4 linked regions of the Anolis sagrei genome follow. The protein of the gene in region 1 purifies or fractionates together with the protein of each later gene. This does not show direct contact. Links are inferred from orthologs where the notes say so. Each region holds a gene or a part of one and is shown in the gene's direction. Other genes may lie near its edges.

Evidence for each region.
Region 2: the proteins of EZH1 (region 1) and JARID2 purify together in Homo sapiens (affinity purification with mass spectrometry; 4 studies listed by BioGRID and IntAct, with this or other methods). This does not show direct contact. The link is inferred for Anolis sagrei from reciprocal best matches to the Homo sapiens genes EZH1 and JARID2.
Region 3: the proteins of EZH1 (region 1) and PHF19 purify together in Homo sapiens (affinity purification with mass spectrometry; 4 studies listed by BioGRID and IntAct, counting the BioPlex papers as one, with this or other methods). This does not show direct contact. The link is inferred for Anolis sagrei from reciprocal best matches to the Homo sapiens genes EZH1 and PHF19.
Region 4: the proteins of EZH1 (region 1) and AEBP2 purify together in Homo sapiens (affinity purification with mass spectrometry; 3 studies listed by BioGRID and IntAct, with this or other methods). This does not show direct contact. The link is inferred for Anolis sagrei from reciprocal best matches to the Homo sapiens genes EZH1 and AEBP2.

The regions. Positions count from the first base shown.
Region 1 is NC_090026.1:50,724,206-50,731,575, forward strand, and holds the start of EZH1 (histone-lysine N-methyltransferase EZH1), read left to right. Parts: upstream 1-4,120; 5' UTR 4,121-4,144; coding exon 4,145-4,209; intron 4,210-7,370.
Region 2 is NC_090024.1:80,730,444-80,738,235, forward strand, and holds the start of JARID2 (protein Jumonji), read left to right. Parts: upstream 1-4,647; 5' UTR 4,648-5,793; coding exon 5,794-5,838; intron 5,839-7,792.
Region 3 is NC_090031.1:8,752,656-8,760,387, forward strand, and holds the start of PHF19 (PHD finger protein 19), read left to right. Parts: upstream 1-4,538; coding exon 4,539-4,583; exon of another isoform or gene 4,584-5,053; intron 5,054-7,732. Other genes in the region: TRAF1 (TNF receptor-associated factor 1), read left to right, coding at 4,221-4,439.
Region 4 is NC_090025.1:183,640,529-183,647,889, forward strand, and holds the start of AEBP2 (zinc finger protein AEBP2), read left to right. Parts: upstream 1-4,264; 5' UTR 4,265-4,346; coding exon 4,347-5,074; intron 5,075-7,361. UniProt on the Homo sapiens protein: Acts as an accessory subunit for the core Polycomb repressive complex 2 (PRC2), which mediates histone H3K27 (H3K27me3) trimethylation on chromatin leading to transcriptional repression of the affected target gene.

The DNA.
Region 1 (7,370 bases):
ATTAGATGGAAATTTGCATCCTTGGATGTGGGTCTCATCAAAACAAGAATATTTGTTATACAATTGAGAAATGTACATATTGTGAAATAGCAAGCAAGTGGCATGAATATGCTGCTTGTAAGTGCAAGAGAGATTCTGGGATTCCAAGCCCCTAATTTCAGGATTCTGGGCTGGTTGTGGTAAACTCCACACAAGTTTAGAAACAGTTATATTGTTTATATCTACTACGGTGAGCCTTGATTTTTTTCCCCTCCTAGTTTTAGAAAAGATTTATAGGCCTCAAGGTACATACACACTCTGAACAACGGGAAATGTTCTGCAAGGTAGCAAAATCCGACATGTTTAGATAAATTGCGAAGTTTTGAACTAACTCTGTATATTTTAGTTCTGTGTTTATATCACAGAAACTTTTACAGCATGCCAGTTATAAACATGGCAGTAGAATATAGCTGTTCGACAGGATCAGAATACAAAGGGATTTTGGAGCACCTTTGAGATTGAGGATGGATCTACATTGCCATACCTGAATAAACTGAATCCAGATTATCTGCTGGGAACTAGATTATGTGGTAGTGTAGATGGAGCCTAGGGCCCTTCCATACAGCTGTCATCGAGCCCAAAAGACCCCCTCCCCAGTCAAAACTATTGATTTGAACCATGCTGACCTTCAGTGGAGAGTTCCGCAGGGCCACTTTGACTCAACTCTCACCTCAGTGAATTATTGCCAGTCACCCTTGGTCTGAAGGTGTTCAGAATCAGCCACCAGCATCCGGAGGAACTACATAACCTAATCCTATCTTTTTAAAAAAGACTGTGGTGCAGCTGGCTGGGAATCAGCTGCATTAAGATCACTACTGACCAAAAGGTCATGAGTTCGAAGCCAGCTCGGGTCAGAGTGAGCTTCCGACCAATTTGTGTAGCTTGCTGTTGACCTTTACAGCCCGAAAGACAGCTGCATCTGTCAAGTAGGAAATTTAGGTACCGTTTATGTGGGGAGGCTAATTTATGATGCCATAAAAATCTCCAGCAAGCATGCAAAGAATAAGGAAGTACTTCATCAGTGCCACAAATGGGCGGTGAAGCAACAGATCCCCTGGTGGCCAGAATATCCTCGGTAGCAGATTGGCAGCCAGTGGAGCTGGTGCAACAGAGGAGTTGTATGCTCCCTGGGCGCCGCTCCTGTTAGCAACCTGGCTGCCGCCCGTTGGACCATTTGAAGCTTCCGAACAGTCTTCAAAGGCAACCCCACATAGAGAGCGTTGCAGTAGTCTATACGGGATGTAACCAGAGCATGGACCACCGTGGCCAAGTCAGACTTCCCAAGGAACGGGCGCAGCTGGCGCACAAGTTTTGATTGTGCAAAAGCTCTCCCGGCCACCACCAAGACCTGGGGTTCCAGGCTCAGTGATGAGTCCCAAACTGTGAACCTGTGTCTTCAGGGGGAGTGTGACCCCATCCAACACAGGTTGTAACCCTATCCCCTGTTTCGCCTTTCGACTGACCAGAAGGACCTCTGCCTTGTCTGGATTCAATTTCAATTTGTTCACCCTCATCCAGACCATCACAGCGGCCAAGCACTGGTTCAGGACCTGGACAGCCTCCTTAGTAGCAGGTGGAAAGGAGTGACAGAGTTGGACGTCATCTGCATACAGGTGACACCGTACCCCGAAACTACAGATTATCTCTCCCAACAGCTTCATGTAGATGTTAAATAACATGGGAGATAGTATTGACCCCTGTGGGACCCCACAAGACAATGGTTGTGGAGTTGAGCAGGAATCTCCCAACAACACCTTCTGGGAACGACCCTCCAGGAAAGACCGGAGCCACTGCAAAACAGTACCTCCAAGGCCAATTCCTGTGAGGCATCCCAAAAGGATACCGTGGTCGACGGTATCGAAGGCCGCTGAGAGGTCCAGCAAAACCAACAAGGACACACTCCTCCTGTCTAGTTCCTGGTGCAGATCATCCACTAAGGCGACCAAGGCTGTCTCAATACCATGCCTCGGCCTAAAACCAGACTGTGCCGGGTCCAGATAATCCGTGTCTTCCAAGAATATCTGGAGTTCAGAAGCCACCACACGTTCCATTTATGTCCTCCAAGGATAAACAATACTTTCTGCATAAGTTAAATGGCCTCCAGTGCCATTGGTGGTTTGGGACCCACCTACCTTCGTGAGTGCATCTCTCTCCATGTACCAACCCGGGCCCTTCAATCTTCTGGGGAGGTCCTCCTGTCACCTTTACCAATCTCAAAAGCCTATCTTGTGGGTACAAGGGAGGGAGTCTTCTCCTTGGTGGCTCGCCGACTTTGGAACTCTTTACCTGGAGGGATTAGGAAAGTCCCTTCACTAGAAACATTTAAAAAGAACCTTAAAACCTGGCTCTTTCGCTGCGCCTTTGGTGAGTAGGTGTACACCATGACATTTTGCACCCCTCAACGCTTTTCTGTTACTGGAGTTCGTGCCCCCCAAATGGGAAGTTCAATCTCATAAATCCCCATAAATGTCTTTCTCCTATTTTATCTCATCAGTTTTAAAAATTGTTTTATCCTGTACATGTGGCCCGCCCATTGTTATCATGATTGTGTTTATTAGAATGTTATTTTAAGATTTTTTTAAAAATTAATGTACTTTGATGATGATGTTGTTGTTTGTTGTTTATGTTCTGATTTTATTGCTGTAATATGTTGGGCCAGTGAATGAAAATACATCCTGCATATCAGATATTTACATTACGATTCATAACAATAGCAAAATTACAGTTGTGGAGTAGCAACAAAAATAATGTTATGGTTGGGAGGTCACCACAACATGAGGAACTGTATTAAGGGGTCACAGCATTAGGAAGGTTGAGAACCACTGTTCTAGATTATCAAGGCAGGATATCCCACATTATCTGAGTGTGGACTCAACCCAGCACAAGGCAGATATTGTGGGATTTTCTGTCTTGATATTCTGGGTTATAGAGCTGTGCAGGAGGGCCCTAAGTGCAACGACTAGGATTTGTAGTTTGGTGAGAACTGAAGGACTTGCAGAACCACAACTTCCTGGATTCCACAGCATTCATCCATGTAAGCCACTCCGAGTTCCCATTGGGGAGATGGTGGCGGGGTATAAATAAAGTTTATTATTGTCGAAGGCTTTCATGGCCGGAATCACTGGGTTGTTGTAGGTTTTTTCGGGCTATATGGCCATGGTCTAGAGGCATTCTCTCCTGACGTTTCGCCTGCATCTATGGCAAGCATCCTCAGAGGTAGTGAGGTCTGTTGGAACTAGGCAAAAGGGTTTATATATCTGTGGAATAACCAGGGTGGGACAAAGGACTCTTGTCTGCTGGAGCTAGGTGTGAATGTTTCAACTGACCACCTTGATTAGCATATAATAGCCTGACATTGCCTAGAGCAAACTTTTGTTGAGAGGTGATTAGACGTCCTTGTTTGTTTCCTCTCTGTTGTTGTGCTGTTGTAATTTTAGAGTTTTTTAATACTGGCAACAAAATTACAACAGCACAACAACAGAGAGGAAACAAACAAGGACGTCTAATCACCTCTCAACAAAAGTTTGCTCTAGGCAATGTCAGGCTATTATATGCTAATCAAGGTGGTCAGTTGAAACATTCACACCTAGCTCCAACAGACAAGAGTTCTTTGTCCCACCCTGGTTATTCCACAGATATATAAACCCTTTTTCCTAGTTCCAACAGACCTCACTACCTCTGAGGATGCTTGCCATAGATGCAGACGAAACGTCAGGAGAGAATGCCTCTAGACCATGGCCATATAGCCCGAAAAAACCTACAACAACCCAAAGTTTATTATTATTATTAAGGTCTGAAGTCCAAAACACCTGGAGGGGTGAAGTTTGCCCATGCATGATAACTAAACTATCTTGAGCCTCGACTGCCATATAATCCAGATTAATATAGTTAATCCATATTCTGTATGATCTGGCATTGTAGATCCAGCCGACGTTTCCCGCATTGGAAGAAAAAACAAAGTATTGGTTGTCTAGTTAGGAAGTTTATGGGTCTCTGCGGCAAAGGGGGGCGTGGCATTGGAAAGAGCCACGCGCCCCCTCTCGCGCTGGGAATTGGGCGGGGAGAGGAGGGAGAGGGGGGAAGAGCATGACGCGCGCTCTCACGCATGCGCGCTCTGGAGGGAGGGGGCTCTGCGCTCCCTGTAGGTCATCTGAGTGCGATGTCTAAGGAGTGAGTGGCGGAGGGGCCCCGAGGAAGGAGGGAGGGAGGGGCGCGCGGGCGGGCTCGGGGCGCGAGGAGCTGGGCCTCTCAGGCCTCCCTCGGAGGTGGGGCCGGGCCGGGCTGGGAGGAAGGGGCTTCTGGGCAGGAAGGGCGGGGAGGGGGAGCAGGACGCCTCAGGAGCCGGGCACGGGCGTGAGGGCGCTTTGGGGGCTGCTAGGCCCAGCCCTCCAGGGCAGGAAGGAGAGGCTTCAGTGGGGGCCTTCTCCCTGCGTCTTCCTCGCCTTCTTTGGCATGGGCCTCCTGCCAATTTAAATTTAAAGTGCGCAGTGGCTAGTTAAAATGGCTCGCCTCGCTTTCTGACCCGCAGCAAAGGGAATGTGTCAGCTTTCCTCACAGTATGGCACCCCCTTTGGCCCCTTCTACACTACCATTGAAGATTAGGATTATCCACTCTGGACTGGATTAAATATCGGTGGAGACTCAGATAATCCAGTTCAAAGTAGATCAAGTGGATCATCTTGAAGAGAGATGTTGACAAGCTGGAATGTGTCCAGAGGAAGGCGACTAAAATGATCAAGGGTCTGGAGAACAAGCCCTATGAGGAGTGGCTTAAGGAGCTGGGCATACTTAGCCTGAAGAAGAGAAGGCTGAGAGGGGATATGATAGCCATGTATAAATATGTGAGAGGAAGTCACAGGGAGGAGGGAGCAAGCTTGTTTTCTGCTTCCTTGGAGACTAGGATGCGGAACAGTGACTTCAAAGTACAAGAAAGGAGATTCCATCTGAACATGAGGAAGAACTTACTGACTGTGAGAGCCGTTCAGCAGTGGAACTCTCTGCCCCGGAGTGTGGTGGAGGCTCCTTCTTTGGAGGTTTTTAAACAGAGGCTAGATGGCCATCTGTCGGGGGTGCTTTGAATCAGGCATGTAGCGGGGGGGGGGAGGGCTTGAGGGGCTTAAGCCCCCCCCCCGAAATTCTCATGGTGGTCCACGAAAAGGCCTTACTGGTGCATTATTTAAACTGTTATGTTTATTCATATCATGATCTGATCACCATGCTCAATATATCTCATATGCATGGGGGTATTGGGGTAATGATACAAAAGGTTTGCTAGGCTAGACCCTCTTTCACTCAGACTCAGCCCCCCCCCCCCGAAACTCAGCCCCCCCCAACCCCCCGAAACAAAATCCTGGCTACGGGCCTGCTTTGAATGCAATATTCCTGCTTCTTGGCAAGGGGTTGGACTGGATGGCCCATGAGGTCTCTTCCAACTCTATCATTCTATGATCTGCATTGATCATTTAGGGCACTTCCACACAACTGAATAAAACTCCACATCATCTACTTTGAACTGGATTATATTGCAGTGTGGACTCAGATAACCCAGGGCCTTTCCACACAGCCCTGTATTCTAGATCAGTGCTTCTCAACCTGTGGGTTCCCAGATGTTTTGGCCTTCAACTCCCAGAAATCCTAGCAGCTGGTAAACACTGGGATTTCTGGGAATTGTAGGCAAAAATACCTGGGGACCCACAGGTTGAGAGGAGCCCCCGGTGGCGCAGTGGGTTCAACCCCTGTGCAGGCAGAATTGAAGACCGACAGGTCACAGGTTCAAATCCGGGGAAAGGCAGATGAACTCCCTCTATCAGCTCCAGCTCCTCATGCGGGGACATGAGAGAAGCCTCTAACAAGGATGATAAAAACATCCAATCATCCGGGCGTCCCCTGGGCACATTGGCCTGCAATTTGCCTTGCAGACGGCCAATTCTCTCACAACAGGAGCAACTCCTGACACGACAAAAAAACAAACAAACAAAACAAAAAACAGGTTGAGAACCACTGATCTAGATTATCAAGGCAGGAAATCCCACATTATCTGAGTGTGGACTCAAATAACCCAGTTCAAAGCAGATATTGTGGGATTTTCTTCTATGACGAAGAGCCATCAGGACTTTATTCATCCTTTTGGTTGCCCAACATTTTCTGATCTTCTTTATTGTGTCGTAAAACACCTCCCCCTCTTTTAGCGGTACCTAATTTCTCTAATTACAGTTAAAGCTGTTTTTGAACTGCTTAGGTCAACAGTAAGCTGGGCTGACAGTCAGCAGCTCACACTGAACCGGGGCTTCGAACTTGCAACCCTCCGGTTGATAAATCTTATAATTGCTGGTTATTTACCAGCTGTGCTAAACCCCCGGCCCCTTCTTACACTGCCATATAATCCAAATTATCAACACAGATAATCTACATTATCTGCTTTGAACTAGATTACATGAATCTACACTGCCAGGTAATAATAATATTATAATAATATTCTTTTTTTAATACCCCACCACCATCTCCCCAAAGGGTACTCGGTGCAGCTGACATGAGGCCAAACCCTAAGGTGCAATACAGCAAAAATAAAATACAGACTACAGACAACATAAATTGCATCAGAATAAAATACATACAGTAACAAAATAACATAAATAAAGCAAATTAACACAATGTAAAATCAAATGGGCAGAATGAGCAGGCCAAATGGACAAGGCAAAAGGATAATCCAGTTCAAAGCAGATACGGTAATCTGGGTTTTATATGGCAGTGTAGAAGGGGCCTCAGATAATCCAGGTCAAAGCAGATAATGTGCCCTTAGAGATTTATTTCTAGAGAGAACACTTTTTAGTACTCCCTAAGTTCTCCAATGCAGTTTGGTGGTCAGCTCCCAGGAGAAATTGATCATGGGACCTAGAAATTCCTAGAGGTGTTCTCTTAGGTTAAAAAAAAGTAAATTATTTTCTCACTAGTCGTCCCCTGCCAAGTTGCTGTGGCCCAGTCTGGTGATCTGGAAAATAAAGTAATGGTTTCTAATCTATGTAATTTCTTTTTGCTTGTGGGTAAACAGTATTTCTTTGTCAGGGTTGATGTGGAAAGTGTCTGGTTTGCCTACTCTGGAACATGGAACATATCATTGTCCTTCTTTAGGACTCCCTTTCAAATCTATGATATTATATCGCTCTGTGTGTGAATCATATATATCTATCTCTATGGCTGGATGGCTCTTTGTCAGGAGGGCTTTGATTAGATTTTCTTGCCCTGGTGAAGAGAGTTGGACTGGATGGCCTTAAGTATTTTCTTTTGGTCATGGGAGTTCTGTGGGAAATTTGCCCCAATTCTGTCGTTTGTGG
Region 2 (7,792 bases), on another chromosome or scaffold:
TGGTTTTGAATGTAACACTGCAGAACTTCTCTAATCTGGCTCTCCATATGTCCCGAGCAGACTACTTCTCCTTTTTCCTAATGTCTTCATATGGTGGTTTCCTAGCTTTTGTAGTTTTGATCTCGATTCTAAAAGGTTAAAATGCTTCCCCATGGCTTAGTTATTGGTGGCAAGAGCCTTACCCTAAAACAGGGCCTGTGGGATAATACAGAACGTTGGATGAGCAAAGGATACGGCTCTCTAAGGTCATTTACTTGGCACTTGCTCAGGGTCAACCTAAGTCTGAATTGACTTGAAAGCACACAACAACAATAACAACAACAACAACAACACTATCTCATTAGCCAAACACAGGCCCATACTTCCCATAGAAATATTAATAAGTTTATATTTGTTAAAATTGTTCTTAATTTTAATTATTGTATTATTTTTAAGTGCTGTTTGCACTACAAATAAGATATGTGCAATGTGCATAGGAATTCATTCTTTTTTTTCTTCAAATTATAATCCGTCCTTCCAACGATTTGAAAGACTGTGACCCGGCCCTCTGTTTAAAAAGTTTGAGGACCCCTGCCCTAAAACGTGCCAGCATTTTTGATCCTACCTTTGGCTCAACCAACATAGGAAGACAATTTTCCCCTGTACCCAAAACTTAAAATCATAGCGTTGGAAGAGACCTTGTGGCCCATCCAGTCCAACCCCCTGCCGAGAAGCAGGAAAATCACATTCAAAGCACCCCGACAGATGGCCATCCAGCCCGTTTGAAAGCTTCCAAAGAAGGAGTCTCCACCCCACTCCAGGGAAGAGAGTTCCACTGGTGAACAGCTCTCACAGTAAAGAAGTTCTTCCTAATATTCAGGTGGAATCTCCTTTCTTGTAGTTTGAATTGATTCCACCCTTGCTCCATATAATATAGGCTGCATGTATAAGACATGGTCATTTCACCAGGATGGCTCTGTATTTGCATTGAAATCATCCTTGCTGCATGTTATTCTCATATGCCTTTAAGTCAACACTGATTTATGGTGAACCAAACAAAGGCTCTCTTGAGAACATTTATAAGGAAGAGGTTTGCCTTTGCCTTCTCTGAAGCTGAGATAGTGTGACTTGCTCAAGGTTACCTACCGGTTTTCCATTGTTCAGCAGTTTCCAGCCTTGATATTGCATATTCTTGGCATTTTTTAACTTATTGTGCCATGATTCCACTTTATTTGCCCTGATTCTATCCTGTAGATTGGCTTTATTTTCATTAGTTCACGTTGTTACCAAATTACAAATCCCAGGATCCATAATCTATAATTGTGAGGTGTGAAAAGAGTACAGGTTTAATGCTCAAAGCACTAAATCACTCTGGAGGCAAAAGGGCAGCCATCTTGGGAGCGGACTGTGAGGGAAGGGAGGCTGCCAGCTTCTAAGATGGCGGCACTGGCTCCTTTTTCTAGTCCTGCTTCGGTTTTCTCTGGAGGTTGAGGTCTCAGTTTCTCCCTCATCTAAAGGACTAAAGCACCCTGGCATCACTATCTTACTCTTATTCTTTTCCCTTTCCATGGAACAAAGCAAAAACACATTAGATTAGTAGGGAAGGGGAATCATCATGATGTAGTGGTGATCCCTCCCTTCTCTCGCAGCCCACTCTCAAGATGGCTGCCTTTCTGCCTCCAGGGTGATTTAGTGCTTTGAGCATTAAACCTATATTCTTTTCACATCCCACAGTTCCACAATTGAGTTGGAAGAGACCATATGGGCCATCTAGTCCAACCCCCTACCATGCAGAAAAAACACAAAGTATCCCTTGCTGATGTCCAACCTTTTTCGACATCAGGAGGGCGAGTAAAATGATCAAGTCTGGAGAACAAGCCCTATGAGGAGTGGCGTAAAGAGCTGGGCATATTTAGCATTTAGAAGAGAAGGCTGAGAGGAGACATGATAGCCATGTATAAATATGTGAGAGGAAGTCACAGGGAGGAGGGAGCAAGGTTGTTTTCTGTTGCTCTGGAGACTAGGACACAGAACAATGGTTTCAAACTACAAGAATGGAGATTCCATCTGAACATTAGGAAGAACTTCCTGATTGTGAGAGCTGTTCAGGAGTGGAAGTCTCTGGTAGAGGCTCCTTCTTTGGAAGCTTTTAAATAGAGGCTGGATGGTCATCTGTCGGGGGTGCTTTGAATGCAATTTTCCAGCTTCTTGGCAGGGAATTGGACTGGATGGCCCATAAGGTCCCTTCCAACTCCATTATTCTATTCTATGATTTTAATTCTTCTCTATAACCCTCAATGACATTAACAGGAGTATCGTGAGTATCGTGTCAAGGATAGTCATGGTCCCACTCTATTCTGCTTTGGTCAGACCTCACGAGGAATAGCTGGCCACTTGGAGCGCCTCTGGTGATGCTGCAAGAAGGTCCCCCATTGTGCATGTGGCAGGGTGCATTGCAGTAGGTGGTCTGTGGTTTGCTCTTCTCCACACTCGCATGTCGTAGATTCCACTTTGTAGCCCCATTTCTTAAGGTTGGCTCTGCATCTCGTGGTGCCAGAGCGCAGTCTGTTCAGCACCTTCCAAGTCGCCCAGTTTTCTGTGTGCCCAGGAGGGAGTCTCTCATTTGGTATCAGCCATTGGTTGAGGTTCTGGGTTTGAGCCTGCCACTTTTGGACTCTCGCTTGCTGAGGTGTTCCAGCAAGTGTCTCTGTAGAAAACTATTTCTTGATTTAAGTCGTTGGAATGATTGCTGCTACCCAAACAGGAGGTGGGCCGGAGATGTCTCTGCCTTGGTCCTTTCACTATTGGTTGCTACTTCCTGGCGGATGTCAGGTGGTGCAATACTGGCTAAGCAGTGTAATTTCCCAGTGGTGTAGGGCGCAGACACCCTGTGATAATGCGGCATGTCTCATCCACTGTTTTAGCGTGGTGAGACGTGTTCCACACTGGGCATGCATACTCAGCAGTAGAGTAGCATAGCGCAAGGGCAGAGGTCTTCACTGTACCTGGTTGTGATCCCCAGGTTGTGCCAGTCAGCTTTCCTATGATATTGTTTCTAGCGCCCACTTTTTGCTTGATATTCAGGCAGTGGTTCTTGTAGGGCAGTGTTTCTCAAGCTTCCTAATGCCACAACCTCTTAATATAGTTCCTCACGTTGTGGTGACCCCCGACCATAAAATTATTTTCATTTCTACTTCGTAACTGTAATTTTGCTACTGCTGTGAATCGTAATGCAAATATCTGATATGCAGGATACATTTTCATTCATTTATTTTGTCATTTGGGAGTTGTACTTGCTGGGATTTATAGTTAACCTACATTCAAAAAGCATTCTGAACTCCACCAAAGATGGAATTGAACCAAACTTGGCACACAGAACTCCCATGACCAACAGAAAATACTGGAAGGGTTAGGTGGGCAATGACCTTGTGTTTTGGGGTTGTAGTTCACCTACATCCAGAGAGCACTGTGGACTCAAACAATGATGGATCTGGACCAAACTTGGCATGAATACTCAATATGCCCAAATGTGAGCACTGGTGGAATTTGGGGGCAAGTTACTTATTTACTTAGGCGATCCCTTGTAGTCCGAGGATGATGGTCCTCCAAGTTCGGTGTCCTGGCGGTGGATCCATAGGTGACTGTGGAGCCCTATTCTTGATCTGCATCTTCTTCTGCAGTGAGGGCATTGGTTTCCAGGTGGAAGGCGGTCTCGGTCAGGGTTAGCTTGATGCGCTTTCCTCTTGGCACGTTTCTCTCTTTCACCATCCATTTGTGCTTCTTCAAATTCTTCAGCACTGCTGGTCACATCTGACCTCCAGCTGGAGCGCTGAAGGGCCAGGGCTTCCCAGTTCTCAGTGTCTATGCCAGAGTTTTTAAGGTTGGCTTTGAGCTCATCTTTAAATCTCTTTTCCTACCCACCAACATTCTGTTTTCCGTTCTTGAGTTCAGAGTAGAGCAACTGCTTTGAGAGATAGTGGTCAGGCATCCGGACAATGTGGCTGGTCCAGCGGAGTTGATGGCGGAGGACCATTGCTTCAATGCTGGTGGTCTTTGTTTCTTCCAGCACGCTGACATTTGTCCGCTTGTCTTCCCAAGAGATTTGCATGGTTTTCTGGAGGCAATGCTGATGGATTCATTCTAGGAGTTGCACATGACTTCTGTAGACAGTCCACATCTCGCAGGTGTATAGCAGGGTTGGGAGGACAATAGCATCCCTACTGATGTGACTGAGGACCCAGCTATCATATTATTACCGAGTCTGCTTCTCTGGAGGTTTTTAAAGCAGAAGCTGAATGGCCATCTGTTGGGAGTGCTTTGATGGGGTAATTCCTGTCTGGCAGAATGGGGGGGGGTCTCTTCTAATTCTGTGATTCTATGACCCAAATGGGAACAAAATACCTGCTGCATTTATTATTACTATTATTATTATTATGAATGTACCACGTGACAGCCTCCCTCTCCCTCCTTCCCTTGGAGGGGGCGCGTGCCACTGCGCTGGAGAGGAGGGCTCGCGCGCGAAGAGGAAGCCAGCCTCCGCCGCGCGCGCGCGCGCCCCCGCCCGCCTGCCTCGTCCCCGTCCTCGTCCTCCGCGCGGCGCCGCGGCCGGCGTTTCCCAAAGTGGGCGGGGCCTGAGGTGAAAGAAAGGTGCCTCGAGGACAATCCCTCTGCCGGCGCCCAATCAGGCCGCGGATGATGCTGCCTCCGCCGCCGCGCAGGCTGGGATTTGCAGTTCGAGCCCTTGTAGCCATTTTGTAGCGAGGGGACTACAACTTTCCCAGCGAGAGGGAGAGCGAGAGCGAGAGGGCGATTCTTGCTTTGCTTTTCCTTCTTTGCTTTTGCAGGGCTGCTTCTCCTTCGAAAGCAAAGGGAAGGAGATCCTCGCTGTGGTTGGATGCAGCGGGAGATGTAGCAGCAGAAGGAGAAGGAGAAGGAGGAGGAGAATTTTTTTTGCAGAGACAGAAAGGAGGAGGAGAGAGGCTGCGATTGTCCTCCCATTCCCCGCCGCCGCTGTGGATGGGCACCAGGCCGTTTGGGTTGTGCAGCTCTTCAATTTTGATACCTTTTCTATGCTATTTTTCTTTTTCTGGCTGCTGATGGCACGTTGAAAGACCGAGGATCACAACCCTCCCTTCTTGGCCTCCCTGATCTCTCTCTATTCCAGATACAGATACAAATCGGGCCATTTAAAGTTGCTGCTGGGAAGAAGCAGCTCGCGCTCATTGGCTCCCATTGGCTGTGTGTCTGTCTCGAGGAAGAAGAAGAAGAAGGAGGAGGAGGAGAGACTCAACCTCTCTCTCTCTCTCTCTCTGTGCCGCCTTTTGCTTGGAGTTGTCTGCGCTGCAGCAGGAGAAACGTGACTTCCAGCCTTGAGGGGGAAAAATCAATTTCCTTCCCTATTTCCCCCCTTTTTTTCCTCCACTCAAGATGTAAAACTACACCTTCAAGGCCTCTAAGGATCGGGAAGGAGCCAAAACGGTGCTTTTTTGTGTGTGTGGGGTGTGTGTGTGTGTGTGAAATTTCCAGCGATGTTTCTCTCAGAGTGATCTATCTATATTAATTTTTTTGGTGCTTGGTCTCTTTTTTCTTCGTCCCACCTCTTTCGGATTTATTGCATTGTGTGCGAAGGGAAGAAAAACCCGGATTACAAGAAACCACTACAAGGAAGAAGGCAACGGCGGGGAAAAGGAAGAAATAGATATATATACACATCTCTATATTTCAAGATAAGGATCTTTTTTTCTGCCCCTTCCGACACACACACAAATTCATGAAGCAATTGTCCCCCTTTGCAACCGCAACCTGGATCTCATAATGAGCAAAGAAAGACCCAAGAGGAATATAATTCAAAAGAAATACGTAAGTAAAGGCTGTGTGCCTTCAGATTGTGGGTGCTTTTGGGAAATGTCGGTCAGGGGGGGGGGGGATTCAGACCTATTTATTTCCCAAATGGGCAGGCTTCGATCCCTCAGTCGTGCAGCGATTCCTCAATCGGATCAATTGTATTGACCTCAAATGACACAATCGGAATCCAAACCCCGTCTTCCACACAGATGGACAAAATCCACACTGAATTGGCAGTGTGGACTCGGATGATCCGGTTCAAAGCAGATATTGTGGGATTGTCTGCCTTCATATTCTGGGGCCCATTCCACACAGCTGGATAAAATTCCACATTTTCTGCTTTGAACCGGATTATATGACTGTGGACTCAGATAATCCGGTTCCAAGCCGATATTGCAGATTACCTGCCATGACATTCTGAGGTCCTTTCCACACAGCTGGATAAAATCCCACATTTTCGGCTTTGAACCAGATTATATGGCAGTGTGGACTCATAATCCGGTTCAAAGCAGATAATGTGTATTACCTGCCTTGATATTCTGAGGCTCCTTCTACCCAGATGAATAAAGCCCCACAATATCTGCTTTTAACCGGGTTATATGTCAGTGTGGACTCGGATAATCCAGTTCAAAGCCGATCTTGTGGGATTTTCTGGTTTGATATTCTAGGTTAGCCCCCCCCCTCCTCAGAATATTAAGACAGAAGATCCACAAATGTGCTTTGAACTGGGTTATATGAGTCCACACTGCCATATATTCCAGTTCAAAGCAGATAATGTCGGATTTCCTGCCTTGATATTCTGGGATATAGTGCTATGTGGAAGGGCCCTTAGTTAAATGGCTGTGTGGAAGAGCCTTTGCTTAGTTTTTTTGAGACGAAGGAAAAGATGAAACATTTCCTTTGGTTTGCAAAGAGCCTCGTTATTCAAGGACCACAATGTGAATTTGCAGTGACTAGAATGCCTGGGATTTGTAGTTCTCTCCAGCGTGTACGTTCCCTCATTGGCTTTTTGGGGGGCAGAAATCGAGGCAGAAAATCCTACATTATGGGTTTTCTGATTGTGTACTCAGATCAAAGCAGATATTGTGGGTATTTCTGCCTTGATATTCAGGGTTTTATGGCTGTGTGGAAGGGCCCTGAGTCCACACTGCCAGACATTCCAGTTCAAAGCACATATTGTGGGGTTTTCTGCATTGATATTCAGGATTGTATGGCTGTATGGAAGGGCCCTGAGTCCTCATTGCCATATATTCCAGTTCAAAGCAGTTTTCTGCCTTGATATTCGGGGTTTATGGCTGTGTGGAAGGGCCCACAGACAACCCAGCTCAAAGCAGATATTGTGGGGTTTCCTGCCTTGATATTCAGGGATATAGGGCTGTGTGGAAGGGCCCTGTGTTTGCAAGCCTTGCTGGAAGGAATGTGTTGGCCAAGGCCTGGCTTTTAACATTGGCAACAAAAAAAATGGCTCGAGCTTTGTGCTTTCAATGGAGGGAGAAATCGCTTTCGCGTCCAAGCCTCATGTTGTGTGTAACCCAATCGCTTTATAATTGTCTCAAAGAGAAGCGAGTTGTCTATTTTTTCCCCTCCGACTACCTCCCATAGTTGTATTCTATCCATTGGGCGCTGCACAAATCGAGGAATGAAAAGGGCCAAAGTTGGGCACAATATGTCGCTTGCAAAAAGGAGCGGGCTGTCTTCTGTGGTGGGATTTTCTGCCCTTGTTTTGTCAGAAACGCCCGATAAACTTCGCATCCCTTTCTCTGCTTATTTCTTAACACACCAGACCTTGAATTGGAAGCGTTTCTGATCCGAGTTTAGGAATTAAAACACATACAGACACACACATCCGCATTGCAGAGGAAGGCAGGCTCCCCAGCAGCTTAACTTTAAAGTATTTTTTGAGTCCGAAGGGGGAGTGTGTATGTGGAGTGTGCCCGATGAATGTGTGCAATTGCAAATAGAAATTATT
Region 3 (7,732 bases), on another chromosome or scaffold:
AATAAAAAGGTGAAAGAAGGAAGGAAGGAGAGAGGGAAGAAAGGAGAGAAGGAATAAAAGAGAGAAAGAGGGAGGGAGAGAGGAAGGAAGGAAGGAGAGAAAGAGGGAAAGAAGGAGGGAAGGAGAGAAAGAAAGAAAGAAAGGTAGAGAAGGAAGGAAGGAGAGAAGGAAATAAAAAAGTGAAAGAAGGAAGGAAAGAGAGAGGGAAGGAAGGAAGGAGAGAATGAATGAAAGAGAGAAAGAGGGAGGGAGGGAAGGGAGGGGAGAAGGAAAGATGGAACCAAAAAGCAAAGGAAGGGAGGAAAGAAACAGGTAGAGAAGGAAGAAAGAAGGGAAAGAAAAAGAGGGAAGGAAGGAAAGAATGAAAGGAAGGAAGGAAGGAAGGAAGGAAGGAAGGAGAGTAAGAGGGAGGGAGGATTGGCCACAACAATGCGTGGCAGGAACAGCTAGTATCTATATAAATAAAAATGTAATCTTTGTTTGTGGGATTAACATAGCTCAAAAACTAATGGACAAATTGCTGCCAAATTTGGCTACAAGACACCTACTAACCCAAGGAGTGACAATCACTCAAAAAATTTGATTTTGTCATTTGGGAGTTGTAGTCGCTGGGATTTATAGTTATTCTACAATCAGCCCCCCCCCCCCCCCCAATTCTCAGGATGGTCCACGAGATGGCCTTACTGGTACATTACTTAAACTGTTATGTTTATTCGTATCATGATCTGATCACCATGCTCAAAATATCCCCTATGCATGGGGGTATTGGGGTAACAATACAAAAGGTTTGCTAGGGTAGATCCTGACCCTCCCCCCCCCCCAAAAAAAACAAACTCAGCCCCCTCCCCCGAATCAAAATCCTGGCTACGGGCCTGCTGGACATCATCCCACAGATATATAAACCCCATTTTCCTAGTTCCCAACAGGCCTCACAACCTCTGCCATAGATGGAGGTGAAATTTCAGGAGAGAATGCTTCTGGAACATGGCCAGGCAGCTTGGAAATCTCACAACCACCCTAGATAAAATATTGTATAGAACTTCAGAATTATGCAAAGGGTGCAAACTCAAAATGACGACATGGCAACTGTGTGTTATTATATCGTCCGTGTGTCCAATGTGCAGAATGTAGCCAAAGCTTGTTTGTTGTTGAAGAGACCGTTTATCAAGGTTTGTATGTAACCACCATTTCCAGGCATGTAATGTTGCATTTCTAGCAGGACATAAACAGAGCTCAGTAAACAATCCAGGCCAGGGAGAGATGTCAGGGTTTGTCAGGACGGAGTTAGGTTCAACATCTCATTGAATCTTGAATGCTTATGTATACACTTCTTAAATGAGAGCCACGGCTTGGCCTGGAGAAGGCTCGAAATGGATTTGAGTTTCACAATATTTTGCTTGGGCAGCTTTGCCCAATCTCTTGCATCTGGCTTTGTTTTCCCATCTGGTGGCCCTGAAATGTGGGAACGACCGCTTTTGCTTATGCAACAAGCACCTGCCCTTGCAGCACACAGATTTATGGAGGTTACATTGAAAATTGAAAAAAGTGGAGCAAGAAAAGAAACATAGAGTAAAAAACACCCAAAAAAATCCAGGAAAAAATACGAAAACAGAAAGTAAAAGTAGATGACCTCCATCCTATTCTCATCTGACCAAAAGTAAACAATAAGAGACCTCGTGGGCCATCCAGTCCATTCCCATTCTGCCAAGAAGCAGGAAAATCACATTCAAAGCACCCCCAACATCTGCTTAAAAGCCTCCAAAGAAGCAGCCTCCACCACACTCCAGGCCAGAGAGTTCCACTGCTGAACGGCTCTCACAATTACAAAGTTCTTCCAAATGTTCAGGTGGGATCTCCTTTCTTTCCAGTAGTTTGAAGCCACTGTTCCACGTCCTAGTCTCCAGGGCAGCAGAAAACACGATTATTCCCTCCTGACTTCCCCTCCCATCTTCATCCATGTCTCCTCTCAGCCTTCTCTTCTGCAGGATAAACATGCCCAGCTCTTTCAGCCTCTCCTCATAGGGTTTCTTCTCCAGACCCTTGATCCATTGAGTCGCCCTCCTTGGGACACATTCCAGCTTAGAGTCAACATCTCCTTTCAATTGCGGTGCCCAGAATCAGACGCAGTGTGATTCCGGGTGTGCTCTGACCAAGGCATTATTTTCGTTGCTACTACGTAAAAGTAAAGGTTTTCTCCTGACATTAAGTCCAGTCATGTCCGACGTTGGGGTGTGGTGCTCATCTCCATTTCTAAGCCGGAGAGCCAGCATTGTCCATAGACACCTCCAAGGTCATGTGGCCTGCATGACTGCATGGAGCGCCCTTACCTTCCCATTGATCTACTCACATTTGCATGTTTTCGAACTGCTAGGTTGGCAGAAGCTGGGGCTGACAGCGGAAGCTCATCCCACTCCCCAGATTCGAACCTGCGACCTTTCGGTCAGCAAGCTCAGCAGCTCAGTGCTTTAATCCACTGCACCACCGGGGGCTCCAACATAATTGTAATTTTGCTACTTTCGTTGTTACTACATAGTTGTTATTTTCATTGCTACTACGTAATTGTAATTTTGCTACTGTTATGAATTGACATGTAAATATCGGATATGCAGGATGTATTTTCATTTACTGGACCAAATTTGGCACAAATACCCGACATGCCCCAATTTGAATGCTGGTGGGGTCTGGTGGGGAGTAGATTTTATCATTTGGGAGTTGTAGTTGCTCGGATTTAAAGTTCACCTACAATCAAAGAGCATTCTGAACTCCACCAATGATGAAATTGAACCAAACTTGGCACACAGAACTCTTACGACCAAGAGAAAATACTAGAAGGGTTTGGTGGGCATTGACCTTGAGTTCTGGAGTTTTAGTTCACTTACATCCAGAGATCACTGTAAATTCAAACAATGATGGATCTGGAACAAACTTGGCACAAATACTCAATATGCCCAAATGTGAACACTGTTGGAGATTGGGGAAAATAGACCTTGACATTTGGGAGTTGTAGTTGCTGGGATTTATAGTTAACCTACAATTAAAGAGCATTCTGAACCCCACCAACAAGAGAATGGGGCCAAACCTCCCACTCTGAACCTTCATGACCAACAGGAAATACTGTGTTTTTCTAATGGTCTTTGGTGACCCCTCCTGACCCCCAGGTTGAGAAACACTGTGCTAAAGCCTGGCCCATATTTGCACTATGTAACACTATGATACAACCAATAGTGAAAGGACCAAGGCAGTGACATCTCCGGCTCACCCCCTGTTTGGGTATCAGCCAGCACGCCAACAACTTAAATGAAGAAGTAGCTTCCTAAGATCTACAGAGACATTTGCTGGAACACCTCAGCAAGCAAGAGTCCAAAAGTGGCAGGCTCAAACCCAGAACCTCAACCAATGGCTGATACCAAATGAGAGACTCCCCCCTGGGCACACAGAAGACTGGGTGACTTGGAAGGCGCTGAACAGACTGCGCTCTGGCACCACGAGATGCAGAGCCAACCTTAAGAAATAGGGCCACAAAGTGGAATCCACGACATGGGAATGTGGAGAAGAGCAAACCACTGACCATCTGCTGCAATGCAACCTGAGCCCTGCCACATACACCATGGAGGACCTCCTTGTGGCAACATCACAAGCACTCCAAGTAGCCAGCTACTGGTCAAAGGATATTTAACCAACTACCAAACTTGCAAATTTTGTATTTTGTCTGTTTGTTTTGTTCTGTTAGAAATGTAATACAATTGACTGGTTTTCCTGACACAACAAATAAATACTTCAGGTTTATTTTGTTTTCCCATTTTCAGTAAAGATGAAGATGTCTTATTTTATGTTTATTACAAAGACTGTGTAAATATGTTGCACTGCTGGGTTTTGTGTGCAGCATTGCCAGTTTTGTTTCATCTCTGCAAAGTAAAGAGAGTAAAGATTTTCTGTTCACTTTGACTATTGGCCTGAGACTATTTGCATTTGTATTGTCGAAGGCTTTCATGGCCGGAATCACTGGGTTGTTGCAGGTTTTTTCAGGCTATGTGGCCATGTTCTAGAGGCATTCTCTCCTGACGTTTTGCCTGCATCTATGGCAAACATCCTCAGAGGTAGTGAGGTCTTTTGCATTTGGGTTTTGGGCGCTGGGACGTTGGGTTAAAATATGCACTGTGTAACAGTTGTGGCAACCACACAAACAAGCCACCTGAGCCATTCTGCTTGTCTTTTCCCAGGTCACGTTCATGCTGCTGAGTCAAAACAACACAGAAGATCATGTCAGCACCATCCACCCGGATCCAGCATCACCTTCCTTCCAGAGGCCCATGACGGATATGAACGAAGCCAGTGGCTTTCCCAAATTCATCCTGTTGGCTAAGTTACAGTCACCGAAATACGCCTATCTCAAAGAGGGCACCCTTTTCCTCCGGTGTATCACACAAGCCCATCCGTGAATCTTGCTCTTGGTAGTTTTCAAGCAGCGGAAACGGCAGAAGCATCTCAAGCAGCAGAGCTTGACCATGAACCACCATCAAGGACTGCTGTTGGTAGCGATGAGAACAGAAGTTGGTGGATATGGATCGAAAGAGCGGACAGAGGTTTGGGACTCTCCTTGGGAAAATGTCTTGCGTCAATGCATCCAGAATTGGACATAATCTATATATATAAAAATGTTCTGTTCGTTTTGAGTGACATCATAACTCAAAATCTGTTGGACGAATTGGCTCCAAATTTGGCCACAAGGCACCTACTAACCCAAGGAGTGACCATCACTCAAAATATTGATTTTGTCATTTGGGAGTTGAGTTTTGGAATTGTAGTTTGCCTACTTCCAGAACTGACCTTGATTTATAGGAGTTGTAGTTCACCTACATCCAGAGAGCACTGCAGACTCAAACAATGATGGATCTGGACCAAACATGGCACCAATACTCAATATGCCCAAATGTGAACACTGTTGGAGTTTGGGGAAAATAGACCTTGACATTTGTGAGTTGTATTTGCTGGGATGTATAGTTCACCTCCAATCAAAGAGCATTCTGAACTCCACCAACAACGGAATTTAACCAAACTTGGCACACTGAACTCCCATGACCAACAGAAAACACTAGAAGGGTTTGGTGGGCATTGTCCTTGGGTTTGGGAGTTGTAGTTCACCTACATCCAGAGAAACTGTGACCTTCATCGACAATGGACTGGGATCAAATTTGGCGCAGAAAATCACCATGACTACTTAACCAAGTGTACTGGAGACGGTTGGGGTGAATTGACCTTAATTTTTGGGAGTTGTAGTTCACCTGTGGACTCAAACAATGAAGGATCTAGACCAAACTTGGCATGACTACTCCATATGCCCAAATATGAACACAGATGGAGTTTGGGGGAAATAGAGCTTGACATTTGGGAGTTGTAGTTACTGGGATTTATAGTTCACCGATAATCAAAGAGCATTCTGACTCCCACCAACGACAAAATGGGGCCAAACTTCCCACACAGAACCTCAATGACCAACAGAAAATACTGTGTTTTTGGTGGTCTTTGGTGACCCTTCTGATACCCCCTCATGACCCCCCCCCCCCCGGGGTCTTGATTTCCCAGGTTGAGAAATGCTGCCTTAAGGCCATCCAGTTCAACTCCTTTGACCAGGGCAAGAAAACATAATCAAAGCCCTCCTGACAAAGAGCCATCCAGCTATAGATATATTTGACTCTCTCTCTCTCTCCCACACACACATATGTATATGACACATATAGTATCATAGATTTGAAAGGGACCCCTAATGAACAATTACATGTTGCATGTTCAAGAGTAGGCAAACCAGACAATCACCACATCAACACTGGCAAAGAAACAGCAAGAAATACTGGTTCCTCACAAGCAGAAAGATATGACATATATTAGAAACCAACACTTTCTCATTACTTTATTTTCCACATCACCAGACTGGGCCACAGCAATGCCTGGCAGGGGATGGCTAGTATTGTATAACATTGTTGTTGTTGTTATTATTATTATTATTATTATTATTATCATCATCATCATAATCATTATTATTAAACTTTATTTGTACCCCACTAGAATCTCCCGAAGGACTCGATTCGGCTTACAAAGGCCAAGGCCTCAACACAACAACAGCATAATGAAACAACTCAAAGCAAAATCAAAAACATAAAGCAATCATAACAAAACATAGTAGTAGTCCATAAATATGATTATAATATTGCCCGAAAGAGTTAATAATAAATATAAATAAATACGTAATGTTCGTTTGTGGGATTAACAGAACTCAAAACCCACTGGACGAACTGACACCAAATTTGGACACAAGACACCTAACAATCCAATGTATGTCCTTCACTCAAAAAAACAAAACAAAACGATTTTGTCATTTGGGAGTTGTAGTTGCTGGGATTTATAGTTCACCAGTACATTCTGAACCCCACCAACGATGGAATTGAACCAAACTTGGCACACAGTTCTTCTATAACCAACAGAAAATACTGGAAGGGTTTGGTGGGCAGTGTCCTTTGGTTTTGGAGTTCTAGTTCACCTACATCCAGAAAGCACTGTGGACTCAAACAATGATGGATCTGGACCAAACTCTACACCAGTGTTTCTCAACCTTCCTAATGCTGTGACCCCTTAATACAGTTTCTCATGTTATGGTGACCCCCCAACCATAACATTATTTTCGTTGCTACTTCATAAATGCAATTTTGCTACCGTTACGAATCGTAATGTAAATATCTGATATGTAGGATGTATTTTCATTTGCTGGACCAAATTTGGCACAAATACATGATACGCCCTAATTTGAATACTGGTGGGATTGGGCGGGAAATTGATTTTGCCATTTGGGAGTTATAGTTGCTGGGATTTATAGTTCACCTACAATCAAAGAGCATTCTGAACTCCACCAACAATGGAATTGAACCAAACTTGGCACACAGAACTCCCATGACCAACAGAAAATACTGGAAGGGTTTTGTGAGGATTGATCTTGATTTTGGAGTTGTAGTTCACCTACATCCAGAGATCACTGTGGACTCAAACAATTATGGATCTGGACCAAACTCTACACGAATACTCAATATGCCCAAATGTGAACACTGGTGGAGTTTGGGGAAAATAGAATCTTGACATTTGGGAGTTGTAGTGGCTGGGATTTGTAGTTCACATACAATCAAAGAGCATTCTGAACCCCACCAATGATATAATTGGGCCAAAACTCCCACACAGAACACCTATGTGGGCCACAGCAACGTGTGGCTGGTGACGGCTAGTACAGCATAAAACTGATCATAATGTTCATCATAATCTATATCTATATGCGTATGTACGTTGTGTGGCTGGGCTGCCCACTTCCACAGACAGGCTCCCAGTTCCACAAACAGCTGAGGGTTAAATTCCCAACTAGATGTATCTGCAATCGATCAGTCAAGTGCTTCTGTGTACAAGAACTGTCACTGCATCCACATCATTATCACGCAGATTTGTTTGATGCGCACTTCAGGGTTGCGGACGGATTGCATGCTTGGAAATAAAGTTTCGGGAAAACCAAAACAGGCCAAAACACAAAATGAGAGTGGATTATAGTTTGATCCAAAGCATTCTAGAAAGCAAAGCCTGGTTGGCAGGAGCTGTTGGAAAATAGCAAATGACCCCAGCTCTTCCGCAAAGCCCTGATTTTGGGATCTGTCACTGATCCTCTTCGGCTCCACTTGGGAAGTATTGGCTAAGGCTTGAA
Region 4 (7,361 bases), on another chromosome or scaffold:
CACTCCGAGGGTGGCTGTGTTCAAAGGCAAAAGGATTTTGAAACCCAAAGGCAATAGGGTTTTGAACTTTTTACTTACATAATAAGTAGGCATTTAATACACCCCAAGGTATTTTCCACAAAAAAGGATGTTAAAATGACAGGTTTAGAGTATCCATTTAACGAAAAGTTTACAATGAAATTCTATGCAGGCCTATTCAAAGCACAATCCTGCAAGTCCAGTGGGACTTTATTGGTTACATCTGTATAGAAACACTGCCTGAACTATTTTGGAAGATGAGTGTAGACTAGAACTTTAAAAGGGGAAGGTGGGTGTACTTTTTCTATATGGCCTTGTTATTTGCTGAGCTCACAGTATGAGTGAGTGTCTTGTTTCCCTTTGTTTGAGAAGATTTTGTTGCGTTCTTAATAGCTTCAAGATATTTGGGTAAAGCCTCCAGTTGCTCCCACTGTAATAGTGCAGAAATCTGCCATTTGCTCCTCCTTTGGGATGAAATCCAAGCCAATCATGGGTTTTGCCCAGTAATCTGTGTAGACAGAGTCAAGCTTGCGTGATGGATAGGGTCACCGGCAGTTCAAGCCCATGGACAAGGGCCAATTTCGACTGGCTGGGAGAAACCTGACACCATAAAGGAGGTCTACGGGATCCAATTAACAGATAGAACCATGTGCGGCATGGAAGATTCGAGAAAGCCACACAAAGAATGGGCTGTTTGTGCAACAGTTAGCATGAAGGCGGGAAAGGTTTCACTAATTTGGAATCACTGAATCACAGAATTCTACAGCTGGAAGAGACACTGGGGTCAACTAATCTAACTCAATGCTGGTCAATGCCAGTCTAGATTGAATGTGTTCTGTTTAGTGGGTTATGATTGCAGACAACCTTTGCTTCAGAAAACAGACTAATGTGTCAGGATGCCAGAGCTAACACAGGAGAGGGTTTTTGTACCTTTTATAGTTGTGCACAAGAGGGGATTTTTAGCAGGTGTTGCTTATTACTTGGTTGCATCAAAAATTCCCTCTTCTACCCAACCAATAAAGATGCCAAAGTCTCCCCAGCTTTTGGTCTGACAAGTCTGCAACGTGTAGATTCACAGGAGTAAATTAATGAACTGTGTTGCCACTTACTAGTTCTCCAAGCAGGGATCAGGTGATTCTAACATTTTCTGCATCTGCACCCAGGGATGGAAAAACTGTCACCTGTAGCTCTAGCATGACTTCCCCAACTAGCCTCCTGCTCCTTTCCAGACGTCTCCTACCATCTGCATCCTCATCTCAACCATGAACAACAGTGATGTGGTGAAAACAGGCCTCATAAACTGGGAGCACTGGGACTTTTTGATTTGCAGAACCATAGAATATCTGACACTTCAGTAGTCAACCAAGGTCCTGGTAACTCTAATTGAGTCCCTATTCCCACTAGCCAAGTAGACTGCATACAAAATGGAACACTTGCTGGAAGACTTCCACATACCTCCAGCTAGCTCACATCGTCACATCAGACCTGTCAGCTATCACTGCTGTCTACAATATAATACAATATAACGATAACAGTTATAACTAGTTAAAACAATCAAATTAATACAATAGCAGCAATAAAATCATCTTGTGGTCAATGTTTGCCAATTCATAAATCCATAATCCAGGGGTCCTCAAACTTTTTAAACAGAGGGCCAGGTCACAGTCCCTCAAACAGTTGGAGGGCCGGATTATAGCCTGGGGAAAAAAATGAATGAATTCTTATGCACACTGCACATATCTTACTTGTAGTGCAAAAGACACTTAAAAACAATACAATAATTAAAATGAAGAACATTTTTAACAAATACAAACTTATTAGTATTTCAATGGGAAGTGTGGGCCTGCTTTTGGCTGATGAGATAGGATTATTGTTGTTGTGTGCTTTCAAGTCATTTCAGACTTAGGTTGACCCTGAGCGAGGGCTGGGTAAGTGACCTTGGAGGGCCGCATCCGGCCCCTGGGCCTTAGTTTGAGGACCCCTGCTATAATCCATCCAGCATTGTCAATTGTCCTTTCCTACTCTGGTTGTCGTTGTCCTTTATCCATCTGCCAGCTTACCCAAAGGCCTGGTCCCATATCCAGGTTTTTAACTTCCTTCTGAAAGAGAGGAGGGATGTTGATGACTTAATTTCCCCGGGGAGTGCATTCCACAGGCGAGGGGCCACCACCGAGAAGGCCCTGTCCCTCATCCCCACCAGTCTCACTTGTGATAAAGGTGGGGCTGAGAGCAGGGCCTCCCCTAAAGATCTTAAACTCCAAGGTGGGATGTAGAAGGAGATACGTTCGGACAGGTACGCTGGGCCAGAGCCGTAAAGGGTTTTGTAGATCAAAACCAGCACTCTGAATTGTTGAAAACATTCACACCTAGCTCCAGCAGACAAGAGTCCTTTGCCCCACCCTGGTCATTCCACAGATATATAAACCCATTTTCCTAGTTCCAACAGACCTCACTACCTCTGAGGATGCTTGCCATAGATGCAGGCGAAACGTCAGGAGAGAATGCCTCTAGTCTAGACCATGGCCGTATAGCCCGAAAAAACCTACAACAACCCATGTATAAATATGTGAGAGGAAGTTAAGAGGGAGGAGGGAGCAAGCTTGTTTTCTGCTGCCCTGGAGACTAGGATGCAATGGAACAATGAGATTTCTACAAGAAATAAGAATCCATCTGAACATTAGGAAGAACTTCCTGACTGGGTTTTTGTAGGTTTTTCCGGGCTATATGGCCATGTTCTGGAGGCAATTTTTCTCCTGACGTTTCGCCTGCATCTATGGCAAGCATCCTCAGAGGTAGTGAGGTCTGTTGGAAGTAGGAAAAATTGGTTTATATATCTGGAATAACCAGGGTAATGTTTCAGCTGATCACCTTGATTTGCATTCAATGGCCTGGAAGCGCCTGGGGGGAATCTCTTGTTGAGAGTGAATTGATGTGCCTGATTGTTTACTCTCTGTTTTGCTGTTGTAATTTTTGAGTTTTTTAATACTGGTAGCCAGATTTTGTTCATCTTCATGGTTTCCTCCTTTCTGTTGAAATTGTCCACATGCTTGTGGATTTCAGTGGCTTCTCTGTGTAGTCTGACATGGTGGTTGTTGGTGTGGTCCAGCATTTCTGTGTTCTCAAATAATATGCTGTGTCCAGACTGGTTCATCAGGTGCTCTGCTATTGGATAATAACTATAAACATGGATATGGAAGCAGGCCTTTGAAAACAGTTGACTATATCGTAAGCAATGGAGGTTTTTAATTGATTCCAATGCCAACTGGATTTTAATTGGTGATTAATAGGTGCTGGTTTTTGCCTCTTATGTATAATATGTTTTATTTCAGCACACAATTTTATACTTATCATACTTTTATACTAATATGCTGTGTCCAGGCTGGTTCATCAGGTGCTCTGCTATGGCTGACTTCTCTGGTTGGAGTAGTTGCAGTGCCTTTCATGTTCCTTGATGCGTGTCTGGGCGCTGCGTTTGGTGGTCCCTATGTAGACTTGTCCACAGCTGCATGGTATACGGTAGACTCCTGCAGAGGTGAGAGGATCCCTCTTGTCCTTTGCTGAACGTAGCATTTGTTGGATTTTCTTGGTGGGTCTGTAAGTGGTTTGTACGTTGTGTTTCCTCATCAATTTCCCTATGTGGTCAGTGGTTCCCTTGATTTATTTATTTACTTTGCTTATATACCGCAGTTCTCAGCCCAGGGGCGACTCACTGCGGTGTACAACATAGAAGAACAAGGTACAAAATTCAAGACACAATCTAAAATATCAATCTAGCAAAAATCAAAAACATCATCAAACACTTTTCCTCTGGGTGGATCTTCATCTTTACTTTCGTGGCTTGTTCTCGGTTTTGCAGCTCTTCTGATGTCTGAGTTAACCTCCTGACTGTTAACTTAACTTCCTGACTGTTAAGAGACGTTCAACAGTGGAACTCTCTGCCTCGGGAGAGTGGTAGAGGTTCCTTCTTTGGAAGCTTTTAAACAGAGGCTGGACAACAACAACAATAACTGGTTCATACATTCTTGAACGTCCCTATTTCCCTCGGCCTTCTGCGCTTATCCCTCGCCTCCCACCTCGCTTTGCCTCCAAGCGCAGTTGGACGGGCTGCCTGTCCTTGCCTCACTTTTGTCCCCAGGCGGCTTCCATAACGCGCGCGCGCCAGGCCGCGCATGCGCACCCTCGCCGCCAGCCAACCGCCCGCCCGCGCGCACGCTCCTTCCCTCCCTCCGTCCGTCCGTCCGTCCGTCATCCCGCTGCAGTGGGAAGCTCCTCCCCTTTTTTCGTGAGGGAGAGAGAGAGACGGGAAGAAGGGAGGGGAAGGCGACAACATGGCGGCCGAGCTGAGCAGCGGCGAAGGCGGCTCCCCGTTGCTCTGTCCTCCTCCTCCTCTTCTCCTTCCTCCTCCAGGCGCCTCTGAGGAGGCCTCTCCCTCGCCGCTGGTGGAAATGGAGGCCGAGGCCTCGCCCGTTTCTGAGGCTGAGCCCACGGCGCTGCTGCTGAGCGGAGAGGGGGCGGAGAGCATGTCGGAGTCCAGCCCGGAGAGCGCCAGCCAGGCGGGAGACGGAGACGACGAGGAGGAGGAGGACGATGAAGTGGAGGAGGACGACGACGAGGATTCCTCCAGCGGGTGCTGCAGCGACGAGACCCGCTCCCTCAGCCCGGAAGCCGACGCCAAGGCCTTGCCACTGGGAGGAGGCGGAGGAGGAGGAGGCCTAGCGGGGCCTTTGACGGAAATCTCCGCCATCGAAGGAGGAGGAGGAGGAAGCGGCAAGAGCGACGACGGCGGAGAAGGAGGAGGAGGAGGCCTCATTGGCGGAGGAAGCAGCAGCAGCAGCAGTGTCTCCTCCGCCTCCTCGTCCTGCTCCAGCAGCGAATCCAGCCGCGACGAGGGCTACAGCAGCCGCAGCGGAGGCAGCGAAGGAGAAGCCGGGGGAGAAGGAGAAAGAGGAGGAGGAGGAGGCAGTACGTGCAGCGCCTCGTCGGGCGGACGCAGGGGCAGCATGGAGGTCTCCTCCTCCGACGGAGAGCCTCTCAGCCGCATGGACTCCGAGGACAGGTCCGAAATTAGCGCCTCCATCCCCTTCCCTTCCTTTCCCTCTCTTCCTTCCTTCCCTGGTTTGGAATAGGTGCTCTCTTGAATTCCCTGTCTCTTATCAGCATAGGTCCTTTGCCTTGAGTGCTGGGGAACTGTGCAGGGTTCTTTGCCTTGAGGGATGGAGTCCAACTGCATTCACGCTGCAGTGTAGACACTCCCTTTGCCCCCCTTTCTTAAAATCACTTTTATACCAGGCATGGCCAAACTGCAGCCCTCCCTCAAGTTTTGGACTTAGGACCTCATCACACTAAGTAGGGGATGGGGGCCCCTGGAGGGGGGGGGGTTGCTAAAGACCATCAGGAAACACAGTATTTTCTGTTCATCATGGGGGTTCTGTGTGGGAAGTTTGGCCCAATTCTATCATTAGTGGGGTTTCAGAATGCTTTTTGGTTGCAGGTGAACTATAAATCCCAGCAGCTACAACACCCCTGGGGGGGGGGTCATGAGGGGGTTTCAGGGGGTCATCAAAGACCATCAGAAAACACAGTATTTTCTGTTCATCATGGGGGTTCTGCGTGGGAAGTGTGGCCCAATTCTATCATTAGTGGGGTTCAGAATGCTTTACGTCCCACCTCGGAGTTTGAGATCATCTGGGGAGGCCCTGCTCTCGACCCCACCACTGTCACAAGTGAGGCTGGTGGGGACGAGAAGCAGGGCCTTCTCAGTGGTGGCCCCTCACCTGTGGAACTCACTCCCGAGGGAAATCAGAGCATCACCCTCCCTCCTCTCCTTCAGGAGGAGGGTGAAGACATGGTTGTGGAACCAGGCCTTTGGGCAACCAGGCAATTAAATAAGACAATTAAATAAGACAATCAGATGTGCAAGATCAGCAGGATTGTCGAAGTGAAATCAAAAACAGATCTGTGAGTTAGTGTACACTGATAGGGTAGGAGGAAGAATTAGGTTTGTATTGATTTTATTGATTTTATCGATTTTATCGATTTTTTATTGTTTTTATTGGGATAATGGCTTGAATTGTGGTAACTATGAATTGTTGCACTTCTGTGATGATTGTTTTGTGTGGCAGGCATCTAAGCGTGCCTTTGCTGTTGTAAGCCGCCCTGGGTCCCCTACAGGGTGAGAAGGGCGGGGTACAAGAACCCCAAATAAATAAAATAAATTTTTGGTTGCAGGTGAACTATAAATCCCAGCAGCTACAACATCCCTGGGGGGGGGGTCATGAGGGGGTTTCAGGGGCGTCATCAAAGACCATCAGAAAACACAGTATTTTCTATTCATCATGGGGGTTCTGTGTGGGAAGTTTGTCCCAATTCTATCATTGGTGGGGTTCAGAATGCTTTTTGGTTGCAGGTGAGCTACAACTCCCAAATGTCAAGGTCTATTTCCCCCCAAACTCCACCAGTGTTCACATTTGGGCAGATAGTGTATTGGTGCCAAATTTGGTCCAGATCCAAAATTGTTTGAGTCCACAGATTTGAGCCATATACATTGTCCATTAATTCACATGTGTTGCCCTATGCCAGCATTTATCAATCTGGGGATCAAGACTCCTGGGGGAGTCACCAAAGACCATCAGAAAACATAGTATTGTTTTTGTATAGGAAGTTTGGCCCAGCTCTATCATTGGTGGGGTTCAGAATGCTTTTTGGTTGCAGGTGAACTATAAATCCCAGCAGCTACAGCACCCCTGGGGGGGGGTCATGAGGGGGTTTCAGGGGGGTCATCAAAGACCATCAGAAAACACAGTATTTTCTGTTCATCATGGGGGTTCTGCGTGGGAAGTATGGCCCAATTCTATCATTGGTGGGGTTCAGAATGCTTTTTGGTTGCAGGTGAGCTACAACTCCCAAACATCACGATCTATTTCCTCCCAAACTCCACCAGTGTTCACATTTGGGCAGATTGTGTATTGGTGCCAAATTTGGTCCAGATCCATCATTGTTTGAGTCCACAGATTTGAACCATATACATTGTCCATTAATTCACATGTGTTTCCCTATGCCAGCATTTCTCAATCTGGGGATCAAGACTCCTGGGGGAGTCACCAAAGACCATCAGAAAACACAGTATTTTTTGTTGGTCATGGGGATTCTGTGTGGGAAGTTTGGCCCAATTCTATCATTAGTGGGGTTCAGAATGCTTTTTGGTTGCAGGTGAACTATAAATCCCAGCAGCTACAACTCCCAAATGTCCAGGTCTATTTTCCCCCAAACTCCACCAGTGTTCACATTTGAGCAGATTGTGTATTGGTGCCAAATTTGGTCCAGATCCATCATTGTTTGAGTCC